Oryctolagus cuniculus: one gene and its partners. The protein of the gene in region 1 purifies or fractionates together with the protein of each later gene. This does not show direct contact. Links are inferred from orthologs where the notes say so. Each region holds a gene or a part of one and is shown on either strand. Other genes may lie near its edges.

What was found. The genes of interacting proteins can lie anywhere in the genome.
Region 2: the proteins of CD9 (region 1) and ITGB1 purify together in Homo sapiens (co-immunoprecipitation; 5 studies listed by BioGRID and IntAct, with this or other methods). This does not show direct contact. The link is inferred for Oryctolagus cuniculus from reciprocal best matches to the Homo sapiens genes CD9 and ITGB1.
Region 3: the proteins of CD9 (region 1) and IGSF8 purify together in Homo sapiens (affinity purification with mass spectrometry; 5 studies listed by BioGRID and IntAct, counting the BioPlex papers as one, with this or other methods). This does not show direct contact. The link is inferred for Oryctolagus cuniculus from reciprocal best matches to the Homo sapiens genes CD9 and IGSF8.

The regions. Positions count from the first base shown.
Region 1 is NC_091440.1:103,253,404-103,256,913, forward strand, and holds part of CD9 (CD9 antigen), read right to left. Parts: intron 203-3,510; coding exon 97-202; intron 1-96. UniProt on the Homo sapiens protein: Integral membrane protein associated with integrins, which regulates different processes, such as sperm-egg fusion, platelet activation and aggregation, and cell adhesion.
Region 2 is NC_091444.1:108,893,678-108,897,686, reverse strand, and holds the start of ITGB1 (integrin beta-1), read right to left. Parts: upstream 2,805-4,009; 5' UTR 2,596-2,804; intron 2,179-2,595; exon of another isoform or gene 2,017-2,178; intron 1-2,016.
Region 3 is NC_091438.1:38,823,886-38,828,105, reverse strand, and holds the start of IGSF8 (immunoglobulin superfamily member 8), read right to left. Parts: upstream 2,805-4,220; 5' UTR 2,791-2,804; coding exon 2,514-2,790; intron 1-2,513. UniProt on the Homo sapiens protein: Member of the immunoglobulin superfamily (IgSF) that links tetraspanin-enriched microdomains to the actin cytoskeleton and plays several important roles in innate and adaptive immunity.

The DNA.
Region 1 (3,510 bases):
GGCCAGAGCAGAAGTCTTTCCCAAGCCCACGTGCCAGGGTCGGCACGGAAACTCCAAAGTCGAGGAAGCACCAAGTGCCCCCGCCCTCTGTCTCACCTGTGTAGAAGCTAGAGTTGTTATTCTTATCTTGCTCGAAGATGCTCTTGGTCTGAGAGTCGAATCGGAGCCATAGCCCAATGGCGAGGACGGCAATGCCGGCAAGCTGCAAGATACACGGGACACAGGCGTTAGTTCTGAGCACCAGCTACCTGGATGCAGGAGGGGAGGCTTCAGGCTTGCCAAGGATTTGGGGATTTCTCAGTCTCTGTTCCTCACAAGGACCTGGCAGCAGCAGGAGTCGGTGTGGAGTGTATGTATGTGTGTGATCAACCCAGTTTCTCTAAGTGTCTGTGCGCTGGCAAGAAACAAGCACCTATTAGCAATATAGCAACAGAGTGACTATCTGACGGGTAATAGAATACTACACAGGTGTCGAGCTGTGGAGTAGCGGGTTGGTTGAGCCGCTGTCTGCAATGACAGCATCCCACATGGGTACTGGTTCGATCCCTGGCTGCTCCACTTCCCATCCAGCTCCCTGCTAATGCACCTGGGAAAGCAGTGGAAAACAGCCCATGTGCTTGGGCCTTTGCACCCATGTGGGAGACCAGAAGAAGCTCTTCACTCCTGGCTTCGGTCTGGCCCAGTCCCGGCTGTTATTGCCATTTGGAGAGGGAACCAGTGGATGGAAGACTTTTCTCTATATATCCCTGCCTCTCTGTAACTCTACCTTTCAAGTAAATAAATAAATGAAAACAAGGAAAAGCTTTAGATAAAAAAAAAAAAATACAGCAGTGACAATGAGTAACTACAGCCACATGCAACATTATGAGAGCATCTCTCAAAGTTACACAAAGAAGCAAGAGCCAGGAGAACACAGTCCAAAATCAGTGTTCTGTGCAGGGCTGCACATATACATACGTATGCAAATATGTGCATGCAAATGATAACGGAAACCAGAGAAAATGATGACCACAAACTCAGTGGTGACTTCTGGGTAGACGGAGGGACAAGCACTCGGGGAAGAGGAGGTAGTGGCAAGGGGCATATCTAGGGTGCTGGTAGTGCTCCCATTGTTTTTTTTTTTTTTTTAAACTAGTTATTTATTTAAGAGGCAGAGACAGAGAAGGTGAGCGAGTTTCCATCATTCCTCAAAGGCCTGCAGCGGCCCCTGGCTTGGGCTGCAACCAGGATTCAGGCCTCCCTGGGAGTGGTGGGAGCCCAATCACTCGAGCTGTCACCACCGCCTCCCATCTGCGTTAGCAGGCAGCTGGAGTTGAGAACAGGGCCAGGTAGCAATGTGGGTACTCCACTATGGAACCACTGGCACAGACACCTGGCCTTGGAGACCGCACTGCTTAGCAAACGACACACCAGGGCCTCCCCTCACTGCCCCTCTCACAAGGCTGAATCCCAGCCTGCACCGCTGAACAGGCCAAGGAGGCGGCCTCCTGCCAAGCCCCACCCCAGCGCCAGCTCCCATTGTCGCCCGTACCAGGGCTTGCCGGGGGAGTGACTCACAGGCCTCCAGCGAAGTGACCGGCTGCACGAATGAGTGGGCGGGCTCCGGGCCAGCGCCTGGTTTCCAAGATTTGCTGACCCCCCTCCACCCGCAAACAGAGGGGCTCTTATGCAGAGCCCAGCTCTCCAGGGACCTTGATTCTCTGCCCCAGGAGCTGGCAACATCCGTGGTGTGCACAGGCCCTCTTTCCTCCTCTCCTGTTCCTCACCGAGTGGCAGTGGGTGAGATGTGCTGGGTGGAGAGAGGAAGTAGAGCCCCCCACCCCCAACTCCTGGGTGGCCACAGCCTTGCCTGCACCTCCAGTGGTGCAGGCTGATTTGTCCCCATCACAGGGGCATTTCCATAGAGTGGCCTACAATTGCTGGCTGAGTGTTTTCCCACCTGGAGTGGCAGGATGGGGCCCTGTCTTCCTCTTGGCCTGCAGCTAACTAATGAAGGAGACTGCCTTCAACGGAGGTGGTGCCAATGGGCCTTAGGAGAACAACATAACCCGAGCAGCGTGAAAGTCAAGAGCATGGCCCCATGGCCCTCTGCACACTCAGCCCCTTCCCAGACCTCTTGGTCCCTGTGTTACAGAAGGCAATGTCCAGCATCACTTAGAACCACACAAGGCCAAGTGCCTGGCAGCTGTAGGCCGAAGAGAACAGTGCACAATGTCAGGCTTGAAGGGGTGGGAATTTTACGGTGAAAATGCACCTGAGGGGCAGCTATTTGGCCGAGCAGTTAAGATGCCTGCATCCCCGGCCGGCGTTATGGTATGGCAGTTTATGCCACCTCCTACAACACCGGCACCACGCATGGGCAAGGGCTGGAGTCCCGGCGGCTCCATTACTGATCCAGCTCCCTGCTAATGCCTGGGAAAGCAGCCAAAGATGACCCAAGTGCTTGGGCCCCTGCCACCCATGTGGGAGACTCAGATGGGAGTTCCAGGGTCCAGGCTTCAGCATGGTCAAGCCCTGGTCATTGGGGCCATTTGGGGAGTAAACCAGTGGATGGATGGAAGATAGAGCTCTCTCTCTCTCTCTCCCTGCCACCCCACCCCCAACTGCCTTTCAAATAAATCAATATTAAAAAAAAAAAAGATGCTTGCATCCCATATCAAAGTGTCTGGTTAGAGTCCCAGCTCTGCTCCTGATTCCAGCTTCCTGCTAATGCAGACCCCAGGAGGCAGTTGGTGATGGCTTAAGGAGTTGGGTCCCTGCTGCCCACATGAAGACCGGACTGGGAACCTGGTCCAGTTCTAGTTGTTGTGTGCATCTGGGGAGTAAACCAGTGGGTGGGAGCACTCTCTCTCTCTCAAAAATAAATGAAAGAGGAAGAGGAAGAGGAAGAGGAGGAGGAGAGTCTGAGAGCTTTGGGTTCAGTGACACACGGGGGCCAGGATTTCTTATCAGTGAGACATGATGAGGTCTCCTGGCCTAATCCATGGGGAAGAAGGAGGAGTCTTTCCCACGCTGGACCCAGCCCAGATGCCCTCATTCAGACTCTGGGTTCTCCGAGTTCCCATGAGCACCACTCTCAGAGCGGGGGAGTGCTTGCGCCCAGCTGGGAGCAGCCCGGGCTAAAAACCTGGGTGTGGCTCAGCCCCACGTGCACACTGAGAGGGTCTTGCCACTGCGGAAGGCAGGATCTGACCTTGCTCCCCTATGGCAGGAAGTGATCCCTTCCCACCCCTGGGGGCTGGAAGGCTCAGGCTGCTGGATCCCAGCGTGTATGACCTGAAAGCTAGGCTGCAGCCCCCAAGGCCGGGGTCCTCAGGCTGGTCTCCACTGGGGTTAGCCCTGAACCCTCTTCCTCTTGTCTTGGTTTTGGAGACAATGCCTAGCGGTGCTCCTCAGGGAGCCTTCTGTTCTGGGCTTGGCGCCAATCAAAGATTTTCCCTCAGCTCATCCCATCCCCCTACGGAGGGAAGCTCCTGCCCCACCCCCATCCCATCCAAAGGACTAAGCAGA
Region 2 (4,009 bases), on another chromosome or scaffold:
TCTTGTGAAAACTTGCAGGACATTAAACGGACTGCTTTTCATGAAGATAAAAGGTCCCCAGTGCGTGCAACTCCTGCAGTTAGGAATTCAACACCAAGTAGGCATTTCCATTCAATGATGGTGACCTGTGGTGGACTCAAACTACACTACTAGAAGGCCCGAGTGTTAAAATTACTCAAGCTAAGGACTTTTCCACGTGGTTATACTTTGTTGCTCGTTTTGGTAGCATATATACAAAGCAGTTAGTCTTTGAGATTAAAAAATAACCTTAAAATACAACTTTACATTCTTAAACAAAAGAAAGTCCACATCACAAACACTTAAAATTGTCGATCTGTGAAGCCAAATTAGGCTAGGAGTTTATTTGCTCTGTCTACACAGTAAGGTATTAACCACATTCCCTATCTTTTAAACTAGCATTTTAATAACATCTTCCCCTTTTATACTCAATTTTTGGCGAAGTAAAATAGCTTTCATCCCAAATGTGTATACCAAAACATCAATGCTTCATTTCTTTCCTATTTATTACTTACCATCCCAAATCATGCATTTAGTATTGAGTAATGAAGCAAAATTACTTAAAAATATGAGCATTATAAAAACCACCAAACAACAAAAAAATAACCGACAACCTACGATTCTATGCACCTAAATATCTATGCGGACTGCTGACCCAGAGACATCTACGTAGCCAACCACACTGGGATGTCAGACTTGACCGCCCAGGAGGGCTGAGCAGCCGGCAAGTGCTCACGTCAGCGTCCCGGCGGCCACGGGCTCAGGACGGAGGTCCGTGGACCCTGGGGTCTTCGCCTCCGTAAAACGGGAGGTGAAAACAGGACCCACGGCTCCCCGCCCTGTCGCAGAACCGGGCGAGATAACCAGAATCCGTTATCGTATTGGCGCGGGCGCCTTTGTTCCACTTCAGAGGAACCAGCAGCGCGGAGCGGGGGTCGCGACTCGAGATCAAGAGCCAGCACCGGGCGAACCGCGCGCGCTCCCGGGCGGCACGAGCACCGGCGCGCGGCGGAGCGGCCCGGCCCTCGCCCAGCGCCCAGACCGGGGTCCTCAAGCCCAGACCGGGGTTCTCACGCCCGCGGCGGAGCGGCCAGACGGGGGTCCTCACGCCCGCGGCGGAGCGGCTCGGCCCTCGCCGAGCGCCCAGACGGGGGTCCTCACGCCCGCGGCGGAGCGGCCCGGCCCTCGCCCAGCGCCCAGACCGGGGTCCTCACGCCCGCGGTGGAGCGGCCCGGCCCTCGCCGAGCGCCCAGACCGGGGGTCCTCACGCCCAGACCGGGGTCCTCACGCCCAGACGGGGGTCCTCACGCCCGCGGCGGAGCGGCCCGGCCCTCGCCCAGTGCCCAGACCGGGGTCCTCACGCCCGCGGCGGAGCGGCCCGGCCCTCGCCCAGTGCCCAGACCGGGGTCCTCACGCCCGCGGCCTCCGCCCCGCACCCCGGCGCCGCGGCGGCTCCTCCCGCTCCCGGGGATCCCGGCCACTCCTCCCGGTTCCTGCGGGCACAGCGTGGCGGGCCCTGGCCCCGGCGACTCCTCCAGGCTCCCAGGGGTCCACCCCGCTCCCGGGGTCCGACAGCAAAGGGCTCGGCCCCCCGACTTCTCCCGACTCCCGAGGGCGACGGGTCCTGGCCCCCCAACTCCTCCCGGCTCCCCGCCCCCAGGGGCAGAGAACCGGGACTCCTCCCAGACGCCCGGGGCCGAAGGCGCTGGACCCCGAGTCCAGCTGCTGCCCGCTCTCGGGCGCTGTGGCCCGGCTCGGCGCTGCTGCCGCAGGACAAGCGCCCGGTGACCAGCACAGCGGCCGGCCGGGCCCTGAGCGAGGACCCCTGGGAGGCCTAGCTCTCCCCGGACGCGGGCGCTGACCCAGCGCTGCCGGAAACGGCCGGCCCCGCGCGGCAGCCACGCCGGCCTCCCAGGCAGAGGGGACGCCGGCCGGGAAGGGCCGCGAGGACGGGCCGGGCGCCGCCGGGCGCGCTGCGCCGCGCGCCGCAGGCCTCACCTTCCCCAGGCGGCGTCCGGGCCTGCGCCTTAGGCTGGGCCTGCTGCTCGGCGTCCCCGCGGCTCGGCGCGGCCTCTCCCGGCTCCGGGCGCGGCGGGCGGCGGCTCCTCCTCCTCCTCCTCCACCTCCTCCGGGCCACCGGGCGGGGTCTCGGCCGCCCCGCGCCGCCTCCCGGCCGGAAGCCCCTCCGCGGCCCCGCCCCGCGGGCCGGGCGCGCGCCCCTCGCTCCGGAAGCGCATTCCTGACGGCCGCGCCTCGGGAGGCGCCCGGACAAAGGGCTCGGCCGGGCGGGGCCGCGCGGGGCCGGGCGCGCGCGGGGCGGCCGGCCGGGGGCCGCGGTGCCTCAGCCCCGTCTCCCGCGCCTGCGGGTCCCGCGCGCCGGTGTCTCGGCCGCCGCTCTGATCCGGTGTAAGAGGAGCCCGCCCGGGGCGTTGGGGGTTGCACAGGGTCCCTGGGGCTCTCTGACCCACGAGCTCCGTGGTCCCGCGCACGGCGACCGCTGGGGACCGGCGTTAATGACCCCGTGACCCTGAAGGGGGCGGTGAACTCCCCGCGCGCGAGGGCCCCCGCGGGATTCACCTGCGCTCGGTTCGCGCCGCCAGGCCGCAGGGTTCCTTCCCTGGGGTGCAGCTCTGCCGGCACACAGAGCGGGTGCTGGAATTCTGGATAACGCTGGATAAGTTACGGTGCAGGGCTCCTGTGGGCCCAGGCTGGAGCGGCGTGGGAGGGCAGCGAGAAGGGGGAAGCGGAGTGTTCTGTAGAGAAGCGGCTCACACAAACACCAGGGGGAGGGCAGGGCCGCCCGTGCTGCTGAGGAGGCGTGCGAGCCACGTCGCAGGTCTTGAACTCAGCACCCGTGCGGGCTTCGCCACCCCAGCTCCCGGGCAGTGTTCTCGTCTGCCCGGTGGTAGACCCTCCTCCTGACCCTTACTGCAGTTCCCGACCCTGCTAGTACCTGCTCTCCAGAAGAGCCTTTGGTCACCTGCCGCTCTCAGTTGCTCGCCCACAAGGGTCTGTGTGATCTCGGTCTCTGCCATTAGAAGAAGGCTTACCTCAGTGAAAGGCACCATGCTGCCTTAGTCAGATGCACTTGCCTTTCCTCAAACACTTGGGTCCCACGGGTTGTCTTTTATCACGTGATTGTGGGAGACCTGCTGGGGTGAGAGCCCTCTGCCTTCTGATGGTTGAGAACTCCTGAGACTCGGGGCAGCACTGTGATGTAGCAGGTAAAGCCCCCACCTGCAGTGCCGGCATCCCATGTGGCCACTGCTCCACTTCCAATCCAGCTCTCTGCTATGGCCTGGGGAAGCAGTAGAAGATGGCCCAAGTCCTTAGGCCCCTGCACCCGCATGGGAGACCTGGAGGAAGCTCCTGGCTCCTGGCTTCGGATCTGCCCAGCTCCAGCTGTTGCAGCCATGTGGGGAGTGAACCAGCAGATGGAAGATATATGTATATGTGTGTGTGTGTGTGTGTGTGTCTTTCTCTCCCCCCCCTTCTGCCTCTCTGTAACTCTGCTATTCAAATAAATAAATAAATTGTTTAAAAAAAAAAAAAAAAGAACACCTGCGACTCAGAATGGATGCCTGCATCTGTGAGAGTGAAAGGGTGAGACGTTCAGACAGACGACACAAGACCAGATTTTCCTGGGGTTGGCCACAGACTGACACCATCCATACCAGATCATTTTTTACATTTTTTTTATCTGTTTCATTTACTGAAAGACATTGAGACAGAAACAGATAATGATCTTCCATCCTCAAATGCTGCAGCAGCCAGGGCTATAGCAGGCAGAAGCCAGGAGTCAGGAACTCTATCTGGGCCTCTCATGTGGGTGGCAGGGACCCAGCTACATGAGTTGTCACCTGCTGCCCCCCCAAAAAATAATGCTCATTAGTAGAAAGCTGGAATCAGAAACAGAGCTGAGACTAGAACCTAGGCACTTAGGGCATGTAGGCAGATCACAAATCACACAATAAGATCACAAATCAAAAAA
Region 3 (4,220 bases), on another chromosome or scaffold:
TCCACCTGTCCTCCTTATCTGCACCCTATCCCTCCACCCCACTTCTTCCGGACCTGGCCAGGAGAGCCTTCTGACTAAGGGATTCTGAGCCCACTTGGAGGGGAGCTGGCCGAATCTTGCGCAGAAGAGCTGACTGGCTCAGCTGCGTCACCTGGGCCAGACAATGGAGCCAGTGGCCCAAGCTGGACAGGGCACGGCCCCAGTCACACAATGCCCTCCCCCCCCCCCCCCCCGCCTCCAGCTGTGCCATGAGCTCACTGCTTCTCCTGGGACTTCTGGGGTAAGAACCAGGCTCTGCCCAGGCCAGCAAGGGGGCAGAAGCCCCTCCCCCAGTGCCAACCTTTAGGCTACCCCAGCTGATGCCCAAGGCCCCCCACCAGCTCCCTAACAAAAGCTTTTATTTGCATATGGCCTGTACTTATTTACCTACGGCTGTCTTTCTGTAGGGAGGCACTAAGCTCCCAGCTGCTCCTCTCTATTCCTCCTGGGAGAGACCAAGCCTCTCTTCTTCATTCTACCCCTACCCTCACGCCCAACTGCACCCCAGCATATACTCCTGGCAGCACTGGAGGGCTCGGCGTCTTCCTTCTCTTCCCCTGTCCTTCCATGGCCTCCATTAGATAAGCTCAGAGAACCCTGGGATGTAAGAAGGGCTGCCTCAGCCCCCCACCCCCATGACTCCCACACACCCCTGCAGAGGGGCAATCCAGGGGGAAGATGAGGGAACTCCAAGGCGAGGTCGAGGGGACTGCCCTCATCAGTCACTTCCAGGCGTGCCACTGTGCAGTGGCTGAAGGGAAATACCCAGCACTCCGTGGTCCGGGAGCCCTCCGGCTCCTCTACAAAAGGCCCTCTCGTCTTCCCTACCCCACGGCCATGCTCTCAGCCCCTTCCTTCTTCCTCTGGCTGTCACGGGGAGAACTCGTGGTCAGCTGGCGCAGGACACAGGCCTGGAGTCCGGATGTCAGGTTGCAGCCCCAGGTCCAGAAGTCTGGCCCAGGACCAGTCCCTTCCTCTCCCAGGTCTCAGTTTCCACCCTGAATCTGTGACTCAGGAGCACCTCGCTTGGGGCACATACAATCAGCATGAAGGCCAGACAGCCAGGCTGACACCTCCCCCCCACCCCACCCCACTCCTGCCTACTCCCTCGAGGCAGACTCTGCTCAGAAGGGCCCCTCAGCCCTCCCTGGCTCCACAGCTGCTGATGCCTGGAGATCCCCATGGGAAAGTCACCCTCCCAGCCTTGGGAAATGAGCTGTCACACAGCTCCTCTCCCCAGCCAGCCCCCTCCCTGGTGACTGGATCTGGGTTCACATCCTGGCTCCAGCACTCACTGCAGGTGAGCCCTCAGATCCTCTCTGTGCATCCCCCCTCCCCACCTCCACCTCCCCTGGGCTCCTCACTGCCCCATGCTTTCCACTGGGGAGAAGGAGCCAAGTGCTAGGCAACCAGGTCCCCCAGCTCCTTCCTCGCTCTACACCCATCTGCTTCCCGGCCAGGGACCCAAAGAAAGGCCTCCTCCTAGCCCCGTGGGCACAGGGCGGTGAGGCAAGGGAAGACTGCACTATCTGGAAACAGGCGGTGGCTGGGGCTTCTGCGTTGACTACCCCAGCTCTCAAGCCACCACCCTCTCCCCCTGCACCCTGCTCCTCTGCAATCGGCTCCTCTAACTCCCCCACCCATGGCGCTCCTGTTCCCAGGCCTTGGGTCTTCTGGGCAGCCACGCAGGCAGCTGTACTGTCTCCCCACCACACTCTTGCCCACACACCTCCAACAGAGAATCTCCGCTCCAGGCCTCAACCAATCCCACTGTCACTACCCTGGAGCATCCATGCAAGGCCGGCCCCAGACGGCCCCCATAAACACCCAGACTGTGGACAAGTTGCTTGGAGCTCGCAGAATCAGTCTCCATGGAGCTTAGCGTCTCATGAGGCAGGGAAGCAGTCACTCAAGGGGTGTGCCGACCAGTGGGGGTCGCAGGGCACAGTGCCATCCGGGAGCGCTGAAGACCGGCAAGGAGGGACCCGGCCCAGGGTGGAGATGGGGCTGAGAGTAGAAACCGCCCCCAACCTCAGATAAAGTGTATGGGGGGCAATTAGGGAACAGCAACTTCAAAGATTGTGGGCAGAAGCGGCTCCTGGGCCTCTAGCCAACTCTGATGCAATTACGAAGACGGGCAGGCACTGCCCACGCAGGGCAGACACCCAAGGCCAGGCCTGGGACTGAGTGGGGGGCAGAAGGGACCTGCAGCACTTCGTTTGCGGCGACCCCAGGATCTAAATATGCGGGCTGAGAAGCGGGGCTGCCTCCCTGAGATCCGGGGTGCCCCAGTTCCCAGGCCTGGAGCTGGGGAGCCCTGCCTCTCCCCATACAGACTCGGCCATACCGCTCTCACCTAGAGCAGCGGGGCGCCGAGCCCGGGGAGGCTGGAGACACCCTTGAGGCAGAAGGGGGCTGCGAGGAGTTCAGAAAGGCGGGGGAGACAGCGGGGCCGGGGCGGGGGCCGGGCTTACCCAGCGTTAGCAGCAGCAACTGCAGCAACCGCGGCGGCGGCGTGGGGCGGAGGGCGCCCATCGTGCGCAGCCGGATCTGAGGAGTCTCCGGGGGGCGGCGCGGACTCTGCGGGGCCGGGGCCGCGGGGGGCGCATGCCCGGGTGGGGAGCAAGAAGCGGAGCAGCGAGGCGTGGGTATACGGAGCGGCCCGGCGCCGAGCGGGAGCTGCTGGGTCCCCCCTCCTCTCTGCCTCCTCCCGCTGCTTTTACTCCCGCCCTCGGCGGCCCCAGGGACCATTCCCGTCCCGCCTCGTCCCGCCCCGCCGCGGTTCCCGGCCCCGCCCAGTCACAGTCCCGCCCCGCCAGACTCCAGTCTTGGCCCCGCCCCAGGCCCCGCCCCGGCCCTGGGCTCATCCCTATCTACCCTCGCAACGAGCTCACCCCCGCCCTGCACCTGCTAGCCTTTCCCGGAGGGCTGGATACAGGAGCCCTGGGGTGGTGGCCACGTGTTTAAAATCCAGTCACTTGCTCTGGGCCACTGGTCTTCGCAGCAAACCCTGCAGAAGGGGTAGCAGGACCCCGGAGTTCCGGGACGCGGGGGGGGGGGGGGGGGGGCTTTGGGCTGAAACCCCGTTCAGGGCCCCGGGAGACCCGTACCACCTCCCCACACCCCCACCCCCCACAGAGAGCGAAATGAAAGAATGGGTTAGGAGGGTGCGTCATCCGGAAGCCATTGCTTCCTGGTGCCGCTGCTTAACCTCCCTCAGCCTCAGTTTTCTCCCTTGCAGACAGAACTGAGTTCTATCACGTCCGCCGGCATCCTCCCCCCTCCCCCCCCCCCGGGTAACCGTGAGGACTGACGCTGGAGTTTTGGCCCAGGGTAACCTACACGAACGAGGAACTGGCGTGGGGACGTTGTTTTGTTTTTTCAGTTATTATTAAAACCGTTTCCTTAGTTCAGACCTGGGGTTTTGTGTCCAGTGGGAGGAGCTGGGAAGGGTAGGGCCTGGGGGGGGGGGTGAGGAGGAGCAACTGGTTCCTAGGTGCTCTGCCCTGGAGAAGGGGGCCGTGGGAGGGGCGGCAAGGGGGAGGGAGAGAGGGAACAGCCAGGCGGGCCAAAGTGGCTGCCAATGGGAGGGGACCCTAGGGCTCACCTCGCACCTGGCGCCCTTCAGCCCCTACTTGTCCTTTCTGAGTTCTCACCTCCCCCATTACAGAGAAGGAAGCCGGGGCCCAGAGAGCGGAAGCGGCAGGGGCCAGACCAGACCCTTCCAGAGCCTGGCACAGTGCCCAATTCAGAGCAGGTGATCATGGATTGGCCAGTTGCAGTCTCACTCAGGACCCCTGGAGGAAGCAGAGCTTGGGAGCCTGGAGGGCACCTAGAGGCCGTCACCTCCCAGTGTGGGCCCAGAGGCAGGCCAGCAGGGCGTCTGTTTATCCATATATCCACAGCCTGGAACCTGCAGACTCATTGCATCAAGTCCATCCCTAGACGCATAAGGGAGCTTTTAAAGATTTATTTATTTATTTGAGAAGTAGAGTTACAGACAGAGAGAGGGAAAGACAGGTCTTCCATTTGCTGGTTCATTCCCCAAATGGCCATAATGGCCAGAGCTGGGCTGATCTAAAGCCAGGAGCCAGGAGCTTCTTCCGGGTCTCCCGTGTGGGTGCAGGGGCCCAAGCACTAAGGCCTTTTTCCACTGCCCTCCAGGCCACCAGCAGGGAGTT